2 linked regions of the Arabidopsis thaliana genome follow. The protein of the gene in region 2 purifies or fractionates together with the protein of the main gene of each other region. This does not show direct contact. Each region holds a gene or a part of one and is shown on either strand. Other genes may lie near its edges.

Evidence for each region.
Region 1: the proteins of JAZ10 (region 2) and AT4G14720 purify together in Arabidopsis thaliana (affinity purification with mass spectrometry; 2 studies listed by BioGRID). This does not show direct contact.

What each region holds. Positions count from the first base shown.
Region 1 is NC_003075.7:8,430,086-8,437,449, forward strand, and holds AT4G14720 (TIFY domain/Divergent CCT motif family protein), read right to left. Parts: upstream 5,021-7,364; 5' UTR 4,850-5,020; coding exon 4,732-4,849; intron 4,550-4,731; coding exon 4,410-4,549; intron 4,275-4,409; coding exon 4,096-4,274; intron 3,611-4,095; coding exon 3,520-3,610; intron 3,432-3,519; coding exon 3,335-3,431; intron 3,026-3,334; coding exon 2,966-3,025; intron 2,770-2,965; coding exon 2,706-2,769; intron 2,633-2,705; coding exon 2,398-2,632; 3' UTR 2,375-2,397; coding exon of another isoform or gene 2,367-2,374; 3' UTR 1,888-2,366; downstream 1-1,887. Other genes in the region: ARD1 (acireductone dioxygenase 1), read right to left, coding at 399-441, 555-625, 705-829, 913-1,027, 1,161-1,255, 1,336-1,447, 1,765-1,782. UniProt on the Arabidopsis thaliana protein: Regulates the arrest of dispersed meristematic cells during lamina development.
Region 2 is NC_003076.8:4,215,938-4,222,302, reverse strand, and holds JAZ10 (jasmonate-zim-domain protein 10), read right to left. Parts: upstream 3,476-6,365; 5' UTR 3,303-3,475; coding exon 3,191-3,302; intron 3,114-3,190; coding exon 2,619-3,113; coding exon of another isoform or gene 2,614-2,618; exon of another isoform or gene 2,369-2,613; coding exon 2,307-2,368; coding exon of another isoform or gene 2,264-2,306; 3' UTR 1,841-2,263; coding exon of another isoform or gene 1,801-1,840; 3' UTR 1,390-1,800; downstream 1-1,389. Other genes in the region: AT5G13210 (Uncharacterized conserved protein UCP015417, vWA), read right to left, coding at 5,715-6,365. UniProt on the Arabidopsis thaliana protein: Repressor of jasmonate (JA) responses. Interacts with and suppresses RHD6 and RSL1 transcription factor activities to negatively regulate jasmonate-stimulated root hair development.

The sequences.
Region 1 (7,364 bases), on a different chromosome or scaffold from region 2:
ACAACAACCAAACGAACCATGGTTTAGATTAAACCAAAGAAGTTGACGCGGTTGGACGTATTACTTCTTATTAGTTTCTTCTAATTTGTTGGTTTTTGAAAAGCAAATAAAAAAGAATAGAGATTTGTGTAAAAACTCAACATATTGCACATAGGAACGAACGTAAGACAATATGAATCCCAATGTAATCTTTTCGTATATGGGATACGACAAAGATGGTAAAGAGAGACATATCAGAGAGTGTAACTAAGTTTACAACAACTCAAGCATACCAAAAGCCATCATTCTACACAGGAATACATATAAATATCCAATACTTGACAGGAAAGCTTTCTTTATTGTAGGCCTTGTTTATAGATCCTTGTTTCAGAAAGCCAGATATAGAGAGAGGAAGCTCTCTAAGCCGAGGCATTGATCATGAAGTTATCGACATATTCTTTCCTGTAAAATATCAGAATTTATTTCTCGTAAAATAACAGAATTTCTTGCTTGATTATATATCCCATTGTTTGCATAAGAGAACAAACAAAAGGGGAAAACCCAGGACATTGTACCTTGCAGGAAGATGGTCGTGTGGGCGATTGTATGGTGTCCATACCGGTTCACCCACGAATAGCCGCATTGCCTGTTCAACAAGATATTTCAATTTTCTAAGCAAGCCCAAACTATAAAATAAATGGCTAGAAGAAAAGCTGACATTGCACCTTGATATAGTTGTCAGAGTCCACAGTGAAGCGATGATAGATCCCAGCAGGTAAGACTATCATACCTCCCTTCTTTACCAATACCCTAATCCAAGCTTCATTACGATCTCTCACATCAAAGTAACCTTTTTCCCAAGAAAATAAAACATGACTACTATATCGAAATTTTAAGTTTACGAGTAAAGCCGCCAGTAAAAGAAGTTCTTACCAGTTCCTGCAACGCAGTAACGGATCTCCTCATCAGTGTGTAAATGTTCTTCGAAAAAGCTCTTCACTTTCACTTCATAGTTTGGAAGCTTTTCCGGGCATACCTCACAAAAGTCCTGCATTTTGAACACTTTTTAATCATCAAACCAAGATTGAGAAAACCCCTAGAGAGTTAAAATAAGACTTGGACAAAAATAAACATCTACCATTCAAGTCTAGTGGGATAGTAAATAAATAAAGACCACAAACCATGTAAGAGTAACCACGAGATTCACGGATCTTTTTCAAATCCTCATCGGTTTCATAGTTATCAGCATCAAGTCTCCAGCTAAGTACTCCCAGCTCTGCACACAAACATTACATGTGAAACAAAATAGAGAAGCAGAGAGAACAACATTGAATTGAAACACACAAAGAGGGGGACCTGCAAGTTTGTCCAACGATACAAACTCTTTAGGATCCTTGTGGTGAGGAAGTCTCTGATCCTCTTCACTATCATCCATATACCAAGCTTGAATCACTTCTTCTCTCCCATCCTAAGCAAAAGCACATCAAGATGGGATTAGATTCCTTGGGAGGCAATGTTCAGATATTTTATATTTAATCTGATTTTAGCTTCAAAACTTCAGACAATTCGAGAAATCGTCAATTGCATAACTAAATTGAATACGAATAGGCATTAAACTGACTGCGAGATTTGAGCAAAAGAAGTAGTTATGATGATTCGAAAATCGTCGAAAATGAATCAAATCACTCAGATAACAATCGACGATTCATGCTTGCATCGCAAAACTAGGAATTATCGATTGGCATTAACAGATCAGAAGCAGAGGAGACAAAGATAAAAACATACCTTGACCGCTTCACCCATCGTGTTCCTCGTGATGTCTTAGTCCTTCTTCGTCTTCAAAACCACCCGATTACTCGATTCTTCTTTTTAAAACAGGGAAAAGATCAAATAAATAAAAATCTTTGGTTAAAAAGACTAAACTACCCTTATTTCTCAACTTTATAGAAGAATGTTGCAAATCTCAGACATATCACATACATCATGCCATGAAAATAGACAAATTAATTATCTCATACATATCAATCACAAAGAAGTTGTGTTACTTGGACCTCAAAGATTGGTATCATCAATAAGGTCTCTCTCATTATAAGACAAGCATTTACATAATACAAACCGCCACATCCTCTCTCTCTCTCTCGCGTCTCTCTAACCTACTCAAAACTACAGACCAAAAAAGATGGACGCAACCCGTAAAAAAAACAAAACCATACAAGACCCGCACTGATCCAGCTCAAATCTTTAACCCATGTTTCTTCCACAATGAACGAGAACATTCATTGTTTGCTTTCTTTCTTTTTGTACATGGCTAACATGTTATAAGAACATGAAATTGTTCTTCCCGCCTTTTGACCCGTAGTACCATCTCCAGTTCTTTTGGCACCTTGTTAATTATCTATAAAAAAGCGAATGAGAGTTTTAAGGGAGATCATTGGAACCATTTGACAAATGCTTGTTCATACCTTCGCTGTTTAGATCACTGTTTAGATCAACTGAGATATTGGGACTTTTTGTTTGATTTTCAGGTGACTCGCAATGCCCTGTGCCACTAAGGTTTTGTGAATATGCAGCGTTCATCCGTGGCTGACGATTCAGAAACATCTCCAAGCTAGAGGACGCAACTCCTGGAGCCTTCTTGGTCTTAGAAAATCTTCTGCTCAGAAAGAAAGGTATCAGTATTCATCGATTTGGAATAAGCAAGCACACAGCATAATAGCAACAACTACCTGTCTTTCCGCTTTTCAAGATATCTTTGCAACGATACTTTTCTGTTCGCCTGACCCTCAACATCTTCAGAAAAGACCAACAAAAAGAACAATAGTTAAATTAACAGAATTTCATGGTCGTATATCATGCAGAACAAGCAAGTAGTTTAGCGTAGCATGTAGAGGTGAAGAGGTGGACCAAATTTCGCTCTCAGGTGTTTTAAAGCATCATTGAATAATAGGATTTCATATCTTTAAGGTAAAATGAGTACTGTTTGTACCAGAATCACGAGAAGCAGGTGCCTTTTCAAGTCCATATTGGGGAAGCTCCACCATCTTCTCTGAAAAAATCAAATCACAATTTCAAAAAAAGGGGCACGAGGCATCTGTAGACACATAAGCTAGTAGAGGTAGCAGCAATTACAGCATTTAGACATGCTTCTTTGGTAATTTAACAATGCCTCCTTTCAAAATTGGACAAAATGAAAGGCCGTGTTTGACATAAGAAAGAAAGAAAGACTCATCTTGAGATGCAGCAGCTCTAGTCATTTTTTCAAGTTAGATTATACATTAAAAAAAAAACTCATTTCAAGTCTGAATCATCAATCTTTCAACTGAAAAGCAGATCAGACACTTTAGCAAATGCTTACCTTTACTCATGGGTTTCGAAATCATTCTACTAGAAGCAAAAATACCATTTTCAGGCAAATCAATTGGATTGGCTGCAAAATGCATGATAGACCGGGCCTGCAAATCAATACACAAGATGAATGATCAAAACCATACCATCAAAATTTATATTTTCAGGCTGGACAGAATTATGTGATTCATTTACCTTTTCAGGTGGTACTCCATCATATACATTCACTTTGCCACTATAAAATATCGTCATTTGCCCAACCACCGCATTTGTTTCAGCTGGGCTTCTGATGCAACATTACAAAAAAGCGTGTTTAAACAACTTAATTAAATAACATTGGAGTAGTAATTTGTTTATAAAACAACATGCACCTAATATCAATAAGACTTTGTACATGAACTACCCCTAAAACTCTTGTTAGTAATTGCAGAATTCACAAATCATATAGACTAATGGACTAAGTAACTGATTTATCGTTCACTAGCAATAATCACATCACATCATACCAATCCTCAAAACAGAAGAGTAAAGAGTAACACAGAACCAAGAAGATCTATCTGACTCTTTTAACCTAAATTCTGTGTGACCAATCCACCATCAAAACCATGATTCATATAGAAACTTTTCAATGTCTAAGACACTGATATCAAACCAAGTACTTATTCTAAGATCACAAACAGAATGTCACAATGCATCAGTTCTCTTCTTGAGGCATGAAAGCAGAAGAAAGATACCACACAAAGTCAAAACGCTATAGAAGAAAATGTAAACCTGGGGGAAACAGAAACAGTCTTGTGGCTATCTTTATCCGCAACAAACTGACCAGAACTACCAGAAAACTCAGCTGATCTTGGAGAATCCCTTCTATGGCACGCACCATCATCTTCCTGTAAAGGAATCCTTCCACAAGCTTCGAGCTCGTTCCTTGGCTCAATCAACGTTGTTGTAACCTGTGAACAAAACAGCAGTACACACAGAACAACAATTTTCCCTAAATCAGCACCAACCAAGTAAACGATTCTCTACTACTTCAGAACTTAGATTTTTCTCTGTAAATCGAAACAAAATCGAAGAACAACACTCACGCGAGGCGGATTTGGCGGCTGAGAAACAAGGATCTTGCGGAGGATTCCGGCGCCGGAATCATCTCCAGGTTCATAGAGAGCTTTAAGAGATAAAACTTGCTGGATCGCCTGAGATTTATTCCACGAAGGCCTGCGCATTCCTGTTTCGACACGTGTCAGCCGCCATTCTCCAGAGAGCGAAAAAAAAAGCTCGGAGAGAAGAAGAATAGAGAATTTCAAAAAATTGACTATGTACGATTCTTCTCAGCAAAATCCGTGAGGAAGATCCTACCGTCGAAGACAATAAGACCGGAAAAAAATGGAGAAAGGAAGAAGAAGAAACCTTTCTCTTTGAGGAATTTGCGGCAATCTTCGCGAGTAAGCTGAGAAATGTCTTCTTCAGTGAGAAGCTTCAGAGGCTTCTCAAGTATAGACTTCGCCGTAGTAACTCCTACATCCATATCCCTTGTCAGATTCCGGCCAAAACGGCCTCACCGGAGTCCCGACGAGAGAGCAGTGGCGTTTTCGTAATAATTGGAGGGTTTTGAGGGCAAAATTAGAAGAGCGAGAGAGAGAGAGAGAGAGAAAGAAAGAGAAAGAGTGAAGTCGCTAATAGTCTATGGGCTTCAATTTTAGGGGAATGGTTTTTGGAGCAGCGAAGCTCCCTAGACTGCCACGTAAGCATCCTATTAGTCTCTCTAGATTATAGCCTAATCATGCATTGCTTAAGTATCCCAATTATTTTTTATTTTTTGGGTAAATCTTATGCTGATTATTTTTTTCGCGTCAAACAGTGAAATAAAATAGTAAATGGTAACAGTTTTATATTAAATTTAAATATAATAATAGCATGAGTGATAAAGAAAAATGACACGAAAGAAAACAGAGATTATTTTGTAATCAGAGAGTATCTTGTTTGTTTATTACTGAGTGGATGTCAATTTATCTAAAATCGCATACGATCAATTTGCATGTGATATTTTGATTAAACAACTAATTATTTCTATAAATGGATAAGAGTTATTCCAAAAATAGAACAAAATATCTTTTGTGTTTTGTTTGTATACTACTTTAGTCTAGATGGACAATCATCAATTCTTGGTTAGTGTTTTTTTCCTGGTTTTACAATTCTTGGTTAGTATCTCTAAAAAATGGAAGATCATGTCACTTATACGATTATTACTTGTTAGTTAGCAGAACCTCCAGCATTGCAACACTTCAACATGTCACGCAATTTTTGCAAAAAGATAATCATTCCAAACATTTTTGCAAACAGACAATTTTCAGTTTAAAACAACCAATCAAACCCTAAATGTAATCATGTTAAATGAGTTTTTTTTTTCTTAAAAAAACATCTCATAAACATGTTAACAAAAAATTTGTTAAGCTAATTTACTAGTTGATACTTTTAAAATGGATTTAGCATTTGTTTGGCAACAACATGTGTGCTATGAATTGGATAGCAAATTAGCAATACAACAAAAACACTAGCACAAACCATTTACTTTTTTGTTAAAGGATCTAGCACAAACCATTATACTAAAAAATCTCTTCGATATCCATATTCAGTAGATCATTTAGATGCATGTAAATGAAAATGGCTCAACACATAAAAACGAAGACTAGTCATTTTCTGAAGTGAATACCAAAACAATTGAAAAATACAAGAGATAGAGTAATAAATTGACAAGACGAAGGAGGAGAAATATATTTTCACATGAGTCTGACCAATATCGATTCTCCCTTAAACCTTGCTTGGTCTTGCGTGACATCCCTTCTCATTATCCAATATATAAAGTGATAATTGATAACAATGCATGATACATGTAATTATACTCGTGATGTACGATAAGGATTCATCACTCAATTCATCCAATGTCGTAATTGTCAAGATATACATGCATGAATAAACGAACAGTTGAAAACTTCTTTTTAAAATATAGTTTCGTCATCCATACATACGGTGATGTCCCGAAAAATGATTAGATAAGCAAACCATATTAATGCAACTTTTTCTTTTTAGATTACTATGAAATTTGGAATACTGATCCATAATTTTTTTGAACAAGAGAATGGAACGTGTAAACATTTTATTTTTTTTAACATCGAAAGTCGAACTTTGTGACTTTGAAGTTAATTCACTCTCGTTTGAAGGTTTTTATAACTTACCAACAATTGATATTGAAATATATAATATTAATCAATGGTCTTCAAAAATCAAAACTATCTACCTTATACTGTATATGCATATACCATTTTTTTTTTCTTTATTGTTATTGTTAACCAGAAATTTCTAATTTTTGGCTCATAGTTTTATGTCCATGGACTAGCATTTGATAATATATACTTATTGCGATTCCACAAACGTAAATCATCTCTCTCCATATATAGCACTTAAGACTCGACCTCATATTTGGTAGTACTGTTACAATACCCTCTAGCAAGTTGACAGCAATTTTCAATTTGCCAATAACTTGTAAATCGTAAAAACTTAACATAAAAATTGGGATATAGAATTGACTATTGAGAGTAGTGGAAGATATGAGATAAAGAAGAGGGAAACAAAAAAAAAACAGAGTGGAAATAGGAAGAGTCGTTATCGAAGAAATGGATCCAAGTTGGTACCATACCTTTAATCTAAAGGATGCATCCGCCATTTCTATCGACACCACTCACCAAACCCTACCCAAATTTATTTTTTTCTTAAAGGTTTTTAAATTATATATTGTTGACTTTATTATGATGTGCTTTAAAAAAAAACAATATTGTGATTTTGTAATTGACCATGAATATGAGAGGTTTTGGAATATAACATATAGGTGAACTACTAGCCAATTGTTAGTCGGATTACTGGTTTAATAAGATGATCAGAACAACTAAACTTGTAAACTTCCATCGATTACAACAATCTTGTGAGGCTAACTTGAAGTAGTTCACCATTTTGGTTGGTGAACACTATATATGTCAATTTATGTT
Region 2 (6,365 bases):
ACCCTATAAAAGAGGGCTGTAGCTGTGATGACCCAACAGACTCAGATTCGTTTCGTTAGCTCTCCTTCTCAATACTCTTCGTTATTTGTTATTCCATGTTTAAGATCTGAATTTCTAAGCTAGGATTGCTAGAATTTGTTTTGAAGTTGGTGTTTAGTTTTCCTCTTGTTTTTCTGAATCTTAATTTCAACTGAAAAAATTGATTGAACGAATCGGAGCAGATGATGAATATTTTGCACTACAACGGTGCTTTCCTATAACTCATGCGGATTATATAAATCGAGCTTTTTAAAACTGATGTCCCGATTCGTCAATCTCTTTTCTAACTTCTGTTTTGTTTGCTCAAAACTGATAATGGTGAATTTTAAATTATGCAATTTCCTTTTTTTTTGGGTTATGAAATCTCTCAGTTCCGCAGATTGTATTGCCATCTAGCAAGTAATTTTTTTTATAATCAAATTTACAAGGATTTTCCTCAAATTAAGTATTCCTGTTTCTTAAGTTTGTTTCCAAACTGATGTGAATCAGTTAGTACAGGTTTTGTTTTTGGACATTCATTTTCTCGATCTGTTGATTGATATAGGATGTTTCATTCTATTGGAATGATTTGGCCGAATGCTATGTAAATAGCTGGTTGATATATTAGATTTTTTCCAGACGAACAGGATAAACTGTTGGTGTTGGACCAAATCGAATCAAATAATTAATTTGAATTACTCGTGATGAATCAAAGATATTAGGATTGGCTTATGCAGTCAACTTGACCAAAGCCAAACACTTGACTAATCTGAATCTGAATCTAAACCAAACATCTGAATCAGAGCTACTAATTAAAACTTGATATACGGTATTCCATCTTCAAAGCTTAAACAACATGATGTAAGTTTAGTACTCTCATTAGCCATTGCAATGTGCAAACTAAGTTTATGTCATCGCAGTAGATTAAATGAGAAGCAATTTACTTGACACAACTTAAAGAGACACGAAAACATTTTTAAGAAACTACATGTAATAAAAAAACTCTCACGTATGCACATGGTGGTATTTATTTCATATCAATAAGCTACAGTATCTTGGTTTCAATGATAAAGAAGACGCAGTGAATGGTTGTGTGGTTTTTGTTTCTTAAATCCGGACCAGCCATCCCTTTTTTGTTAGTACTAGTGATGGATACTATTCAATGAAAGGGGTAATTGTCTAAAAGAAGCCACACAAAGTACGTTCACTTTACCACTTCTTTTCATCTTCATTCCAATGTACAAATTCCACCAAACTCATGTTAAAAGACTTTTGACATAAAGACACAATTAGTCGGGTAGACTTGATAGTATTATATAACTAATACTCACGTGTTTCTTAAACTGTTTTCCATTATAACAATTAGGACAACCCAAGCTAGAGACCAACCAATATAATCAAAGATGAATGGCCACATTTCCTTTAATAATACTCTGATACGGAAGCTTCATGAGAAGCTAAAAGAGGCGTGTTATAATTTTCTTTACCATATACTAAAAAATAAAACAAAAGTAGAAGGTCACGGGATAAGAGAGAGCTTCTTAAATCAAGCTATCAATGACAATAAAGATAATAGACATTTTTAAAAACAAACCAATATATATAATCTTAGTAGGTAACGTAATCTCCTAAAAACGTTTGTCGTGAATAGTATACGATTTAGCAACGACGAAGAAGGCTTCAAAAGAAGATTGGAAATAAGCCAAATCCAAAAACGAACATGGATGTCTTCCGATTGAAAAAGACAAATTTGGTCCATGTCCCAATCTAAAAAGAGATCGTTTAGGCCGATGTCGGATAGTAAGGAGATGTTGATACTAATCTGCAAACACAACAAGACGAAAAAGAAAATGTGAAACCGCGTTTTGTGATAACTTATATAATATACAGATCTTTCTTTGGCCGTATGGTCTGATAAAAGTAAAAGTTCAAATTTTTTTCCGGTGTTTCTCCTCGTTTTCTCATCATTTTGAAAAATATAACTTGTCGGTGTAGCAAACAGAACTAGAGTCAAAGACTCAAAGTCAACGCGCTTTTTAAAAGTTCCATTACAATAGTAACCTACGTATACCGATATTACTACTGATCTCCATTATCTATCTACGTATAAGCATGTGCGTTGTTGAACAAAACTAGTTGAATCTTAAGTTGTATGTGAGAGTAAAAGAGGCAGGACCCATAATTACTATCTTAAATAACTTATAGTAAAAAAAAGGTCGAGAGAGAGAAAAATAAAAACCTTTCTTTAATTATTTGGGGGTAAAAATCCTTGGATTGTTGAAGAATCATTACCTCTCCTTGCGCTTCTCGAGAAAACGTTGCAGTGACTTTCTCCTTGCGATGGGAAGATCTGCATACACACGCATAAACCAGTTTCTTATCAGAAATTAAACAACATGTTTATACTTTTATTAATAACGTATATTAATACGTATAGACATAAACTATAGTCTTTAACTCTTTGATATCTAATTCCAAACTAATTAGCAACCAATTCCTCTCTAACAACAAACTCTTCTTAGATCTCTACATGCAATAATATGTAACTAAAATTCTAGAAGAATCCAGCACTAAGTGATTTTTATTTTTATTATACTAACCTCCTTCTAGATTCTGGCCAAAGAGCTTTGGTCTTAGAGTGGTCGGAAGAATTACCGAAAGATCTGTCTCCATCGACGACTCGTCTTTCTTAGATGCTGCTTCATTAGCGACCTTCATAATTTCACCAGCTTTGTTACGAGACACTTGGAAAACTGAAACACTTCCATTGTAGAAAATCGTCATAGGAACAGTTCCCGAAACGAGTTCGGTACTAGACCTGAGGAAAATGAATGTTTTGAAAATTTGAATTTCAAATTTTTTCGTCTTTTCTGGTAGCGCCAAAAAAGTTAGAAAGAAAAAAAAAACTTTACCGGAAAGACAAAAATACCTGGCGAGAGACGCGTGGACCGGAGAAATCGGGATCTGAGGCTGATCTTCCCTCGGAGTAGACGGAACCGAACGAGATTTAGCCGATGAATCGGAATTGTTTCCAGTGGAAGCTAACAGCGATTTGATAATCTCCGGATCGATTTTCGAAATCGCACCTTGAATATCTGCAGGAGTTCCATATGAATAAATTCGATTTATCGCAAGAAAAAAAAAAGAGAGAGCGACTAAAAACCAAACGAACCTCGGAAACTACGACGGCGATCGAGAAATTTCTGGAACTTAGGCTTAGGAGCGTTGTTGGTTTGTTTCTTCTCAAGTCCGAGGAAATCGAGTTCTATGGTAGCTTTCGACATCTTCTTTGATCTTATTAGAAAGTGAGAGAGAGATCAAGACAGAGAGATATGGGTTTTGAGATGAATAAATGGAGGAATAATAACGGATTCTGATTTCTCATGTGAGAGTTTTTAAAATGTAGTATGTCTCTGATACTTATTTAACGCACGAGGTTCATGCTTTCTCTTTCTTTTCGGCACAATTGGCAACCTATCCACTTTTTCCTTTTTGTTTTGTTTTTATTAGGCTCCCAACCTCTTCTCTTACTTATCTAATTAATTTAATGATTCAAAACACATGTTTAAATTCTTAATATACCTAATGTAATGTAATTGCTTGCTACGCAGAAAGAAGATATTTTATATCCGGAAATAACGGAAGTCCAATGAACATTGTAATGTTTTATAAAAATATATCTTCAAAAATTTGGTAACATGTTTCTGTTACTGTTCGTCACATTGGGTTCTTCTGACATTATATTTGTTTTCTACTCTAGTCTCTGATCTGTATATTTTTCTCGAAACATGTTTTTCTTTTCCATTTTTTCTTAATATGAATTTTAATCTTGCTACTACTAGCTCTACTAGTATAGCAAATCACATTTAGTAGATATCAGTCTTATTGATTTTTCAATATAAACAAAATTTGACATTACTATTCAAGAATAATATTTGGTTGACCTAATAATACAACTGAAATTTCTTACATTTCTAAACTAAAGTACACCAATAAACTTTCATCATATTTGGGAAAGTAACCAATAAAACATACAAATAGGGATTTTAGAACAATAAAATGTTGGTGGTGATTCACAGTTAGTGTTTTGAAAGAAGAAGAAAAAATAAGATTTTCAAATCCATTCAAAAAAAGATTTAAAGAAAACACCACTGCAGATGCATAAAGACTAGGTCAAGTCGGAACTTGGAAGTTTGTTTTCTGCCAAACCAGAAAAGACGGGTCGATCCTTTGGACGATGTCGATGGTTTTTCTTTTCTTTTCTTAGTTTCACATTTTGGCTGGTGTTTTTTTTTCACATGTGGCCGCTCTTTTTCTTGTTCTCTTGTTTAAAGCATATGTGGCTGCTCGTTTCCTAACAGATTTACATATTATTACATTGTTCTCAAGTAAAGTTATAGAGGGATTCAATGAACTCACGTTTTTCTTTCTTGTGAAAATATACCTTGAACCACTTCCGAATTAAATTGACCTCAATTTTCTATCTTGTGCTCAAATTTAAACTTCACCTTATTCTATCGCGCGCATGTTAGCTTAATTAGTTACATTTCTCCTTTTTACTATTTTAAATTAAAAATCATATAACTACAAAATGTAGTGATTACGAAAAGTAATTTTTTTAATTAATATTCTGAACTAATCAAATATTAAAAAAGAATTACGTATAAAAAACTTTTTTAGTAGTATATATTTGATGCCGAAAGTGAAAGTTTTTTTTTTTTTTTTTTCTTGGCAACCGAAAGTGAAAGAGTTAGATGCATGTCTTTCACGTGTTGGGAGCTGTAGTAGTAGTAGTTAATGTCAATACATATCATTATTCACTAGGCTAAGGTGCACTTCTCGATAAGTCTTTAGAGGTTTTCGTCGCTCTCTTTCATCTTCTCACGTTCCAGAGTCAATACGCCTTATTTATTCTTTTTCTTCCGATTATTTTTATTTGTGTTATCACACGTTTTGTCAGTGCTGCCGATTTTTAATGTCGATGTATTTTTCAAGCTGACTAATTTGCCCCTCTGTCCACCTTTCATATACGACCTTACCCTTCTTTTGGCCTTTAATCTCAGAAACACATATTTAACATTTTCAAATTTTTTGAATCGAATCTTGAAACGAAATATGAGAACACTAATGTATAGTGGATTTATTATATTGGATTTAACATGTATAGTGGATTCATCATTACTGTATTATCTATATTTTTTTTCTTGCATAAAACTAAATGGCCGAAACTTTAAGTCGTTTACAGCCCACACTAGTTAGTACCCTTACATAAGAATATAATTGAACCTATAGTTGAAAAGCCCCTTAAGGTAGTAAACCCATTTAGAGAAGAAAAGCCCATTTGAAGAAGTAAATCTGTAAATGAAACGGTTGTTCTTGTTGTCGTTCATTTCCAATACCATCCATAGTTTGCGTAAGGTTTGCTCGCCAAAGTCGTCGGATTCTGAATTCTAAACGCCGAGATCCGATGATACGAGTGATTGTTTCCGGCGAACTATGAGTGTTTTGAAGCAGGTTACGTGTAGAGAGAGCATCGATTGATGAATAAAAGCCAGGTTAGTGGTCTCGTATCGATTACTTGGTTCAGAAAAAAAAAGTAAAATCAATGGGCCAAATTTATTAAAATAAAATTGCAATGGAAGCTTCAACCATGAAACAGGAATACAAAACCAAACTCAAAAAAACAGTAAAGCTTCTTAATCAACAACAACAAGCGACTTATACTCATCTTTAGAAATAGCAGTCTCCATCATCATCACAGGATCAATCTCTCCATCATGTTCCAAAAACATTTTCATCAAATTCTTCGAAAAGCCACTCACCAAAGCCACTCCTTTCTTGTTTCCCGGCACCGGCGTTGCTCTCGAATCCCTCAAGTTCCAAAACACTATCTCCGGCACAACGTCTCCATACCCATTCTGTTTATACTTCCTCACAATCACTTCATAATCCGTTTCCCATCCATTACTTGGATTACTTGGAGGCTGCCTTAAAAATGCATAGCCTGGTCTTGAATAATGTGACGACGACGCCGCTTGATCAAACTCCATATCACTGAACACAAACACCCTCTTGATCATCTCTTCCGGCTTCAGCTTCTCTTGTACGGCCACTCCAAGAATCAAATCAAACACTTTCTGAAAATCAGTGTTCATACCCCATTGCATTTTTTTAACAAACTCTGTTTTTGAGTACAGATCGTCTCCTTTCACCAAATGCAACTCCGGATTTTGGCTGAAAGTTATTAGCTTTCCTTTCCATGGCTCTTCAGATAGCTCAGAGACTAGCAGACCCAAAGCCACACAAACCTCCATTGGTTCACCATTCATAGACCCTGAAACGTCACA